2 linked regions of the Saccharomyces cerevisiae S288C genome follow. Changing the gene in region 1 together with any one later gene gives a genetic interaction. Each region holds a gene or a part of one and is shown in the gene's direction. Other genes may lie near its edges.

The links. A genetic interaction does not mean that the proteins touch.
Region 2: mutations in MSS2 (region 1) and MTH1 together harm fitness more than expected from each alone (negative genetic interaction), as found in Saccharomyces cerevisiae (2 studies listed by BioGRID).

Annotation. Positions count from the first base shown.
Region 1 is NC_001136.10:261,980-270,476, forward strand, and holds MSS2 (Mss2p), read left to right. Parts: upstream 1-6,941; coding exon 6,942-7,997; downstream 7,998-8,497. Other genes in the region: TRM3 (tRNA (guanosine(18)-2'-O)-methyltransferase), read left to right, coding at 1-1,246; exosome non-catalytic core subunit RRP42, read right to left, coding at 1,334-2,131; TMA17 (Tma17p), read right to left, coding at 2,533-2,985; YDL109C (putative lipase), read right to left, coding at 3,279-5,222; TFIIH complex serine/threonine-protein kinase subunit KIN28, read left to right, coding at 5,719-5,746, 5,828-6,720; PHO2 (Pho2p), read right to left, coding at 8,243-8,497. UniProt on the Saccharomyces cerevisiae protein: Required to stabilize mitochondrial cytochrome C oxidase subunit 2 (COX2) and to translocate the C-terminal domain of COX2 through the inner membrane.
Region 2 is NC_001136.10:1,013,901-1,017,222, reverse strand, and holds MTH1 (Mth1p), read left to right. Parts: upstream 1-1,520; coding exon 1,521-2,822; downstream 2,823-3,322.

The DNA of each region.
Region 1 (8,497 bases):
TGAAAAAAAATTAAGCGAAACTAGCATGATCAGAATTCTAAAGAGTATCGAGGATGAAAGTTCACCACTAGTAAGAGTATATAAAGAATGGTTCATTTCCTCAAAGGTTGTTGATTATTATAAAACTGGCAATCCAAAATTTGCTGAGGATTATCTCTTCTCATTGCTGGAGGATCATAGCAAACCGGTGTTTGTAGTTAGCGCAGAAAAAATATGCTTTATGGTGTTGAAAGATTTAAGAAACGACGAAAAGAAATATGGATTTACACAGTTACTAGACAGATTCATTTGCACGTTAGTTCCTAACGCAGCTTCAAACAAACCTCTGGTAAGGCATTTTTCTAATTCTCTAATAATTTCATTATGGCCTACATTCAAAGCCTACCTATCGGATCACACACTGAGAAACATCATTGAGAACTTATATTCCAATGCCAAAAAGACTCAAATATTTGGTCAATATCGTGCCGGGGATGCCAACATATGGGATCTGAAGGGTGATAGGAAATTAACGAACATGTTTGGTGGTGTGCTCAAAAAAGTTACCGACCATGATTGCCCGTACATTTCTGAGTCTGTTTTCGAAAAATATTTGCAGGAGAAAGATATTGTTCCTATAGGTACCGATGAAAGGTCCTTATGGCTTGATAAAAGAGACACCAATACGGAATCTGTTAACAACGCGAACATCTCCTGTGACACTTCTCCACTGCAAACAAAAAGTGGAGCTTGGGAAACCGTTCTGGATCTGGACAATAAAAAATCGAATGATGTCGTTACACGTTCTGAATTGATTGTGGTATCTTCATTAGTTGATAAGCCGCCAAACCTGGGAGGTATTTGTAGGTTATGTGATGTTTTAGGTGTGGGACTGCTTACTGTACAAGACATCAAAGTCAAAAACCATCCTCAATTTAAAAATGTTGCTGTGACTGCTGATAGATGGATGCCCATGGAGGAAGTTGCCCTAGATGAGATTGCAAGTTTCATGAAAGAGAAAAAGAAGGAAGGGTACACATTAATTGGGCTAGAGCAAACGGATAAATCAGTGAAGCTAGACAACAATTTCCAATTCCCTAAAAAATCATTGATCTTGCTAGGAACCGAAGCATTCGGTATTCCGGGGACTTTGTTAAGCGAATTGGATTTATGTTTAGAGATTCAACAATTTGGTGTGATCAGATCAATGAATATTCAAACGGCAACCGCAGTTATCGTTCATTCCTATACAGTTCAACACATGTAAGAATCAGGTTTCATTCCCACTTTTGTTAACCATGAAGTTTTTAGTATGTAAACTAATTTGTCTTTTTATCTAATTGTGACTATATTTTTATAAATTCTCCAGTGATCGTACTACGTCGGGGGCGTATTTCTCCACCATTGCAAGACCTTGCTTCAACAAATGAGGTTTAAAGCTTTTAACGTTTGAATCATTCAATGCTACTGATCTGATAGGTGATGTAATCTTACCATTAGACCAGGAAATGATTAGGCCATTATTGGCCACTTCGCTTTCGTTGGCTGCAGGGTCCAATAGCATATTGTTGCCTACAACGGCCAATATAAACACTAAAGGCGGATTAATGTCAAGCTTAACCATGTCGTAATCATGAAACGTAGGAAGTTCTTCCACCTCTAAGTCGTCAAAAGCTGAAATAAGTTTCGGTAGGTATGTGGAGTTCAACGCTGAATAAATAGCAAAGGATATTAAAGAAACTGGGTGTGAATGTGATGAAATGACCAGAACATCGACAAATATTTTGAAGCTGTACTTTTTTGTCAATTGCAACTTTGAGGAATCTACTCCGCTACCAGACTTCAAAACCTTGTTCAGTAAAGAAGTGATTGTCTCTACTACCAGCGCGTCATCTCTTTGGCCTGCGATATCTACATCGACCTGAAGTAGTTCATTCTCCACATGATGATCCACAACTTTGGACTTAATGCTCACGATACATTCACTTCCATCACTAGCTATAATTCTGGACGATCCATTGGAACTTGGTAGGAAGTCAGTAAATATTTCTATAGGTCTGAATTGATGAGGTAGTCTTCCATCGGGCCTAATTGAAGGCGTGCTTGCTAGTGAATCGTATAGGTACGACTTTTCGGCGACCGAAAGAGACATAAATGATTATTTCAACAGAATCTCAAACTGTCGTTGTGCTAGTCAAAAAGAATGCCTTTTGCCGTCTACAGACTATTAGTATCATTGTACTCCTTCACCATATAAGCTCTACGTTTCTTTTTTCTGAATATTAGAAAAAAATTTCGCCAACTAGGGTTCAAAATAATAGACTAGGGCACGGAAGAAAAGCACACCCTAGGGCTTTCGGAGATAAATTATTAATAGCGAGTTTTTTTTGTATTTACTTATTTTATTATTTCTTTAAGATATCTAGTAGTAAGGATAGAACGGGTAGATAGAATAGACAAATGGAGTTATTGAAATATTTATACGAAGAGATAGAACAGAGAGACAAAGAGTATGACGTGAAAATGATGCGCAGTAAAACTAAATCCCGTCTCTTAAATGAATATGCTGTTTGGTGTCACGACGTCCACATTTGAATTGTCCATGTCAACGTCAGGGCCCTTGTTGGTGTTGTCCTTTGCCTCTACCTCGTGCTTACTCTTGCCATGGCCCGTCTTTCTATATACCGTTTCTTGCTCCAATGCGTCCACTCTCTCATTGTAATTGTTTAGCACAATTTCGTTCTCCCTGACAGAGTCCTTGTACAGCGCCAGGTCTCCCGAATCAATGTTCTCCAAGTCGTCGCTGTCGTCAGCTTCAAGACGGTCGTCAGCACCCTCCAACTTAGCTATGTATTTACCCAAGCGGGCGTTAGACCTCTGCAAATGATTGATACTGTTCTCAATTTCTGTTTTAATCTGTGCCAACTCCATGTCGGACATGCCGCTTATCGCCGTCTTAAATTCTTCGATCTGGATTGGTCTTCTGATACCGCCTGCTGAGCACATTATGTTACTTGTAGTAGTTATTATGTTTTGATTTGCTTTATGTTTTATAAAGATCTTACCCCTCTTTTTGTCAAGAGAAATAAGCTTCTGAAGTATTGTTTTCCTGGTGAAAAGTGTCTTATTTATATGGAGAAGGGATATTCGGCCTCGGTTTTAGGGGAGGAGCTGAAGAGTTGTCCCGCTCGAAAAAGACCCGTAAGCGCATTTATCGAACTACGAAGTAAAATGGACTTTCGTAGGTGTGGACAATAGTAAATTGCAAGTCAATCCCGGGATGACGTCAAGATAGACAGTCAATCTGTCACAGAGGAATGCTTGCTAATCCAGGAGCTGGCGAGCTGGCTAGCTGTGGAGACTATTCCACCATGGTACACACTAGGATCCTCGATCTTGGTGAGCCATGAGTAGAACTTGTTTGGTTCCACCCCTCCGGTTGCCATGTTTATATCTTCCTCAGCAAACTGTTTATCTTGCATTGGTGAGGCGATTGGGTCATCTCTTTGGAAATGGGCGGTAACAAGGTGGTCAACCACCGGCCAGCCGTAAGCGTTGGAAAACCTTCTTCTTACGATGATGTTATTGTGGGCATCTGGTTTCAGCAATACCACGACTTTCCTCCAATGCATCCCCTTGTGCCAGCGGCGTGCTATGATTTCCTCCATCTCTTTTCTCGTCTTCCTCGTTTCGCCTTCCTTGGCTGCTGTTCCTTCATAAAGTGTTGGTGATGGAGGCGGTAAATTCTTTTCTGTGTAGATCTTATCATGTATGATTGTTGCGACCCTTGCATCGGGATCTGAGAAGAACTTTGCGTCGGGGCATGGTGATAGAAGCACAGACTTCATAGATTTGATGACGGAAGCATTCATCAAGCGTTTAGATTTCTTGTCGCAGTTATTTTCCTTGCTCTTCCAAAACGTGTTCCATGACGATGCATTGATTCCATCATCATCATTAGCAACATCGCTATGATTTGGAAGTTCCCCAATAGGACTTACTTCAGGCTGGAAGAGAGGATCACAAGGTGCCGTAGTTTGACCTCCCAGTTTCTGAAGTAATTGAGAGTAGTCCAAAAAAAGTAAAGAAGAGGAGTACAAGGGAACTATTCCGTCGTTGACGGCATTAGCATAAAGTGTTCTTCTTTTGAATCGAGCAAGCACACTGATTAAGGATTCCTCGGATAGCAGGTAAAGTAGGGGCTTATCACCATAATTTCCATCCTTAAGACCCAGTTCTTGCCCCGTAGTACCAATGATACCCATCGACAATGACATTTTTACGTAATTGGGCGTGCTGGTAGCAATGCCTAGCAATGGTGACGCCAGTGAGATAAAATTGATTGGCTCCACTTTCTTAAAGAAATATGGATATTTGGTCTTTATGTAACAAATAGCAAAAGTTTGTGTTAATCCACCCAGGGAATGACCAATAAATGAAATTTTCCCAACAGAGTCATCATATAACTCGTCGATGATGTAGTTTGCCAATCCAACACCCAAAAACTTAATACCCTTCTCAGTCTCACAAGCATTCTTCATATATCCCTTAATAACTAGTCGCTCATTTGGATTGTTCATTTGAGCCTTGTATATTTCTTCCATTAAGTATTCCATATCTGCCGAAACGTTTGATTGAAAACCATGCGTGAGAATGACTAAATGGGATTTTTGCGACATGTCTATGGGTCGTGGTACTTTCCATATATCTGCGGTGGTAAGTCTATGCACCGATAATCCTGTGTGTAAAATATTGCAGGCTTTATCAGGCAATGAATCATTACATCGTATTTTTCTTTTCAAAGAGGCCTTTGAATTGCCGACTACTATCTCAAAAGTTACCTTAGTTTCTTTATTAAATAGTATTTGACTGACAATATCCACTATCCATACATAGCGTGGCTTAATGTGGTGCAAGGACAACTCTGCAATAAACTTTTGTTGTGCCTGTAGGTTTGATTGAAATACTGGTTTATCCGCCGAACATATGATCTTATACGAGCTTTCGTAATCTTTTGCTCGCACGTCACAATATAAGATAAATGGGCCCAATAGATAGGCTGGTTTATAGGATAGCTTTGTGGTATTTTTGATCTTTACCCATAGGGAATCCAGTGTGATATCAGCGGGAATACTATCACCCTGGTATAGCTCATATGTAATAACGTATCTTTCTAACTCACCTAACTTTACTGACGACTGATTGTGGTATAGCACTTCATCAGCACTCCTGCCAGCTTCCATATTACTACCGTTTCCCCGATGTTTTTGGGTGAATAAGGTCAGGTGAGCATTTTTTGTACTGATATTTTTTCTCTTTGTTTGCAGACACAACGCTTGCTGTTAATACGCTAAAAACATACCACACTACCTTGAACAAATCCTCCAAGAGAAATTTGTAAGAATTCAGAAGCGGTTTCAGGGGAAGTCGGCTTAGTTGTCAATTGTAATTGAAAATCACCCTCTAATTTGAAAGATTTTCAGTTTCAATAAGACATCAATCTTGCCAGTTTGTAATTTTTTGGTATATAGAAATGGTCTTCAAGCATAAGCCTTAAGAAAGATTCGTCCATTGGATGAACCTACAATTTTTTTTGTGTTATGATGTGAAGCTTCATTTGAAGCATTGTGCAGAGAATATTACAAGTAGATTCAAAAAACACATTGAAAAAAAATACAAGTGAAATCACAGTTACTTAAAAGTCATCAAAAAAAATATTCCCGGCCTCAGAGCGAACATATGAAAGTGAATATGGAGTACACAAAGGGTATGTGGGGGTTATATATTGTCGTCTTTCTTTTAACATTCAATAATGATACTAACGTTGATTAATGATGATTCATCGCAGAAAAGAAAGTTGGTGAGGGTACTTATGCGGTTGTTTACTTGGGTTGTCAACACTCTACTGGAAGAAAGATTGCTATTAAGGAGATCAAAACATCCGAATTTAAAGATGGTTTAGATATGTCAGCTATCCGTGAAGTTAAGTACCTCCAAGAAATGCAGCATCCGAACGTCATAGAACTAATAGACATATTTATGGCTTATGATAATTTAAATCTCGTTCTGGAGTTCCTACCAACTGATCTAGAGGTGGTAATAAAAGACAAATCAATACTGTTTACACCAGCAGATATTAAGGCATGGATGCTTATGACTTTGAGGGGCGTGTATCATTGCCACAGAAATTTCATTTTGCACAGGGATCTGAAACCAAACAATTTATTATTTTCACCTGATGGCCAGATAAAAGTAGCAGATTTCGGTCTAGCAAGGGCGATACCGGCCCCACATGAGATACTGACAAGTAACGTCGTAACAAGATGGTATAGAGCGCCAGAATTGTTGTTTGGAGCTAAACATTACACATCGGCTATTGATATCTGGTCAGTAGGCGTTATATTCGCGGAATTAATGCTAAGGATACCTTATTTACCAGGACAGAATGATGTCGATCAAATGGAAGTAACGTTCAGGGCCTTAGGGACACCTACAGATAGAGATTGGCCCGAAGTTTCTTCCTTTATGACGTATAACAAGTTACAAATATATCCGCCCCCTTCAAGAGATGAATTGAGGAAAAGGTTCATTGCTGCTAGCGAATACGCCTTAGATTTTATGTGTGGAATGCTAACGATGAACCCACAAAAGAGGTGGACCGCTGTTCAGTGTTTAGAAAGTGATTATTTCAAAGAATTACCACCACCAAGTGACCCGTCTTCAATAAAAATACGTAACTGATATGATTTTATAAAATTTGTAGAATCTGTGTTATTGACATTAGATGTATCCTCAACATATACAAATAAACTTCTTGATGCGTCTTGTTTTTTGGTGTTGAATTTTAACTCTTTTCCATCATTATGGAATTCGTTTTTAGATTTTAACAACAACAATATGAGGGGAGACAAACAGTAGCAGACGAAAACGAAAACAAAAGCAAGAAATATCTGATCTAAAATATGCAGAGGTTTGTCAGTAAGTTTGTTTCCACACCACCAGTACCCAAAAAGTTTCAAGAGATTTTCCCGAAGAAACGTACGGTTAACAAAATTTTATTCCAGTTAGATACAAGGCTTACATACCATGAAATGTACCCGATATTTCTGCAGGTATCACAAAATACTAATGAAGAGAATATCCCATGGAGGAAGAAATACCCCTATATAAGGAGTTCAGACATTATGCAGATGCGAAACGTCTTGATAACTCTAAGGACGCAGAACAAATTCGTCCACAAAGACTTATTAGCTATGGAGGATAAATTATTGAATATTGCTGCCGAACTTGGCAACAACGATGCTATATCCATCCTAAGCTTCAACGTGATACATGAATATAAAAAGGAAAACGTCAAATCCAGTTATGAAAAAGACATTGAAACGGCTAATGAATTCATAAAGAAGCTGTATGCGCGTAACCATCATTTAACGGTTAAATTAATAGGGGACCTGTTTTTCGAAAACAAAACTTACGATAAGGCTGAGAAATATTACCAAGAGTTCTTGAAATTGGAAAATAGTACCAAATTGGCAGGCGAAGTTCACGGAAAACTTGGGGAAATCCAAATAAAGCAAGTCAATGGTTTTTTGAAGGCAGAAAAGTCATGGCTGAGTTGTATAGAACTGCTGGAAATTGAAAGAAGTTCACGTTGGTACTTTCTGTTAGCGAGGTTATATATGAGTTCAGAGCCCATGAAAGCCAAAGCCTTGCTAGAAAATTGTGCATCAATTGGATTTAAAGAATGCTTTAAAACATTAGGATTTCTTGAATTAAACTATTTCAATAATTATGAAAGGGCGAAAGAATGGTTCAAAACGGGTATGGAAATAATGGACTTGGAATGTTTCTTTGGATTTTTCGATTGCTGTGTGAAAGAAGAGAATTTTAAAGGTGCACGAGATTGCCTAGAAAGCGTAAAAAAGCTAGGGAATGATAAAGACAAGAAAACAATGATAAATGTCTTTCTTGAAAGTAGAAAAGATTCCATAAAGTTGCTGGACAAAGCACGGCTTTAAATGTCTGATCGATTCTTTTTGCGATTTATATAAGGACACATGTCTCCACCTATAACGCGAGCTTGTAAATATCTATATACCCATCTGATAATGTTCAAAAAAGTCAGCTAAGTAAGTAAAATAATAAGGACAATAAAATTAAAATGTCATACAATGTTACCTATGAAATAATTAGGAAATACTGTTAGAGTAATATTTAGAGTTGAAAATGCAATCGCAAAAAAAAAAAAACAGAATTATTTTCATCATATCCATCTATGCTCGTCAGTTAGTTCGTTAGTGTTCTTCAAAAAATCTGGAGTATTTGGGAGTTCACTATCAGTCGGTAAAGACAACAAATGATCATTTGGATTTGCAACAATATCAGCATCGTTGGATAAATGTTCTTGCGCTAGATGATTCTCCTCATTATTAGCATTATGATTGTTATTGCTGTTGACGGTAGTATCCAGTAAATTGAGCGTATCATCCTTGCTAGCTTGACGTCCATTATTAGAGCC
Region 2 (3,322 bases), 750 kb from region 1:
ACTCCCCGCTTCGGAGTTTCTTTTTTATTTTCTAGAAAAATTCACATGCTGATTCATTTACCGTTACTGTTTCACTGTGATGCTACTAGTCATATTCTTCTTATATCAATTTTTTTTCTATTGCTGTTTGCATTACCGCAACATACGATGGGAATAAACAGCACAAGCTGTTGTGTACATTTTTCCTCATCATATAACTACAATGTACATAAGTTAGCTTGAAAAAATTCTAGGTCTCATATTAATGCTTGAAATATGGAAGTATGTCGAATGTTTTATAAATAAGTCGAGAAAAATGGTTATGCTACCAGCTAACTTATATATATATAAGACTCTTTCATTCTTTTCTTTGTCTCTCAAACTTATATTTGTTTACGTTTTGGAGGAAAACTAATTATTTTTTTAATAAAGTAAACATAGCATTTCCAAGGTGCAAACCGATCCCTACCACCAAAATAAGCATACAAGACCGTTACAGCGTTAAGACAAAACTATGCTTCTAGGGGGGGGGGACAAAGCAAGGAAGATTAAAATGAATTCTTCAACTTAGGGGTACTTTAAGAGAAAGAATTCAATACTTGCGTTAGCTGACCACCCCATAGTTCGTTTAGATAAGGATATGGTGTGAAATTCATAGTTGAAGACTCTTGAGGAGGTAGGGAACATCTCTCTTCGCCCACCAAACCCAGTTTTCTCTAATACTCCATATCCAAAAAAGTGTAGCTCTATGTACATTGCCAAGGTTTTCTACTGATCAATATTTGATGGAAAAATATGACATAAGGTATGCGTATTAGTAAACTATTAGGGAGCCGCCGGTACTAATAACATCAAGGCCATCTCACGCCGAGACTTACTTGGACTTTTCTCTATTGTAAAGCGGAAAAAAAGTTATCACCCCGCCCCCTCCTCCGCTCCTCCACTAAAACGATCAGCAAATGGCAGAATAACGCGGTACTAACCAGTTTTTCCGTTCCTTGAAACCCAGTCATACTATGAAGTCCCTAAAATTATTCCGAAATTATTCCCTAGAACAAGCGGGAAAAAGGTCCGGGGAAATGGAGTCCGTGCGAGTTTTGTTAGGATGACTGCCCCACACATTTCCTCATCTTATAATTTTGTGGAAAAATTCATCGTGAGAGAAAATACGAGTCCATTTCTCCAGTGAAACTACCGTAGACATGGAATATCTGCCATTCTACCCCTTATTCAAGTGCCTTTTTTTTTTTTTTTCATCCCACATTTTATTGCTGCCTCAATCTCCATTAAGAAAAAAAATTTATATAACCAAATGACATTTTTCCTTTCTTCTCAAACTTTGTAATGCGCCTGTAACTGCTTCTTTTTTTATTAAAAAACAGCATGGAGTTTTTTAATAACTTAAGGAAACATACAAAAAGATTTGTTCATTTCACTCCAAGTATTTTTTAACGTATATTGAAAGTTCTCAATAGCGAAACCACAAGCAGCAATACAAAGAGAATTTTATTCGAACGCATAGAGTACACACACTCAAAGGAATGTTTGTTTCACCACCACCAGCAACTTCGAAAAACCAAGTTTTACAACGACGTCCATTAGAATCGACTAACAGTAATCATGGGTTTGCAAGCTCCCTACAGGCCATTCCGGAAAACACGATGAGTGGCAGTGATAATGCTTCTTTTCAAAGTTTGCCACTATCAATGAGTAGCTCTCAATCCACGACTTCTTCGAGAAGAGAGAACTTTGTGAATGCTCCTCCGGAGTACACTGATAGAGCTAGAGATGAGATTAAAAAAAGATTATTGGCCTCCTCACCTAGCAGAAGGTCACATCATTCAAGCAGTATGCATTCAGCGAGCAGGAGATCAAGCGTGGCTGAAAGTGGGAGTTTACTTTCGGATAATGCCTCGTCTTATCAATCAAGTATATTTTCTGCCCCCTCTACTGTGCACACGCAACTAACTAATGACTCTTCGTTCTCCGAATTTCCTAACCACAAGTTAATCACGAGAGTGAGCCTGGATGAAGCATTACCCAAAACGTTTTATGACATGTATTCGCCAGATATTCTATTAGCAGACCCATCCAACATTCTCTGTAACGGGCGTCCCAAGTTTACCAAGAGAGAGTTATTGGATTGGGATTTAAACGATATAAGATCGTTATTGATAGTCGAGAAGTTAAGGCCCGAATGGGGTAATCAACTACCGGAAGTAATAACGGTGGGTGATAATATGCCCCAGTTTAGGTTACAATTATTACCACTATATTCTAGCGATGAGACCATAATCGCAACGTTAGTCCATTCGGATCTGTACATGGAGGCTAACTTAGATTATGAATTCAAACTAACCAGCGCCAAATATACAGTAGCGACCGCTAGAAAAAGACATGAGCATATAACTGGTAGAAATGAAGCCGTCATGAATTTGTCGAAACCGGAATGGAGAAATATCATCGAAAATTACCTCTTAAATATAGCAGTAGAGGCACAATGCAGGTTTGATTTCAAACAAAGATGCTCCGAATATAAGAAATGGAAGTTACAACAGTCCAACTTAAAAAGACCGGACATGCCCCCACCAAGCATAATACCGCGGAAAAACAGCACAGAAACAAAATCGCTTCTGAAAAAGGCTTTATTGAAGAACATTCAGTTGAAAAACCCCAATAATAACCTTGATGAATTGATGATGAGATCAAGCGCCGCAACAAATCAACAGGGAAAAAACAAAGTCAGCTTATCTAAAGAAGAAAAGGCTACGATATGGTCGCAATGTCAGGCACAAGTTTACCAAAGATTAGGATTGGATTGGCAGCCGGATTCAGTATCCTGAAGATACTAAAAAGAAACCTTCCCGATGGTTTTTTTGGAGACTCTTCGATTGTATCAATACTATCCCATGGACATCAGTTTTAATAGAGGAGCTCCAAATTCCCAAGGAATTGAGGAAGAAGCGCCAATGATTTATATATACAAACTAGCTGTTGCAGCTTTATAGAGATTTAGTAATAAGAATTTTATGGGAACGTGGTACCGTTATCGCAGTAAAGAGTCAAGGGTAGCGAAGATCAAACCATACGATGACGAAATACCTTTAGTTCTTAGCATCACCAATCGCAGACATCCAACGTATCCGTGCGCGTAATCCTTCTCTTGGTAGTTGAGCACAGCATACAGAAGAAGCCGCGCGCAAGCGGTAAATGTCTTTCCTCCGGCCTTCTAACCACCAAAACCGATCTCGGAACATGGGGGGGGGAAGGTCCTCTGAATCGAAAAACCCGAGACAGCGAGAGGGATTTTGCAGAAAATTACAAAGATCACTATTTACTGCTC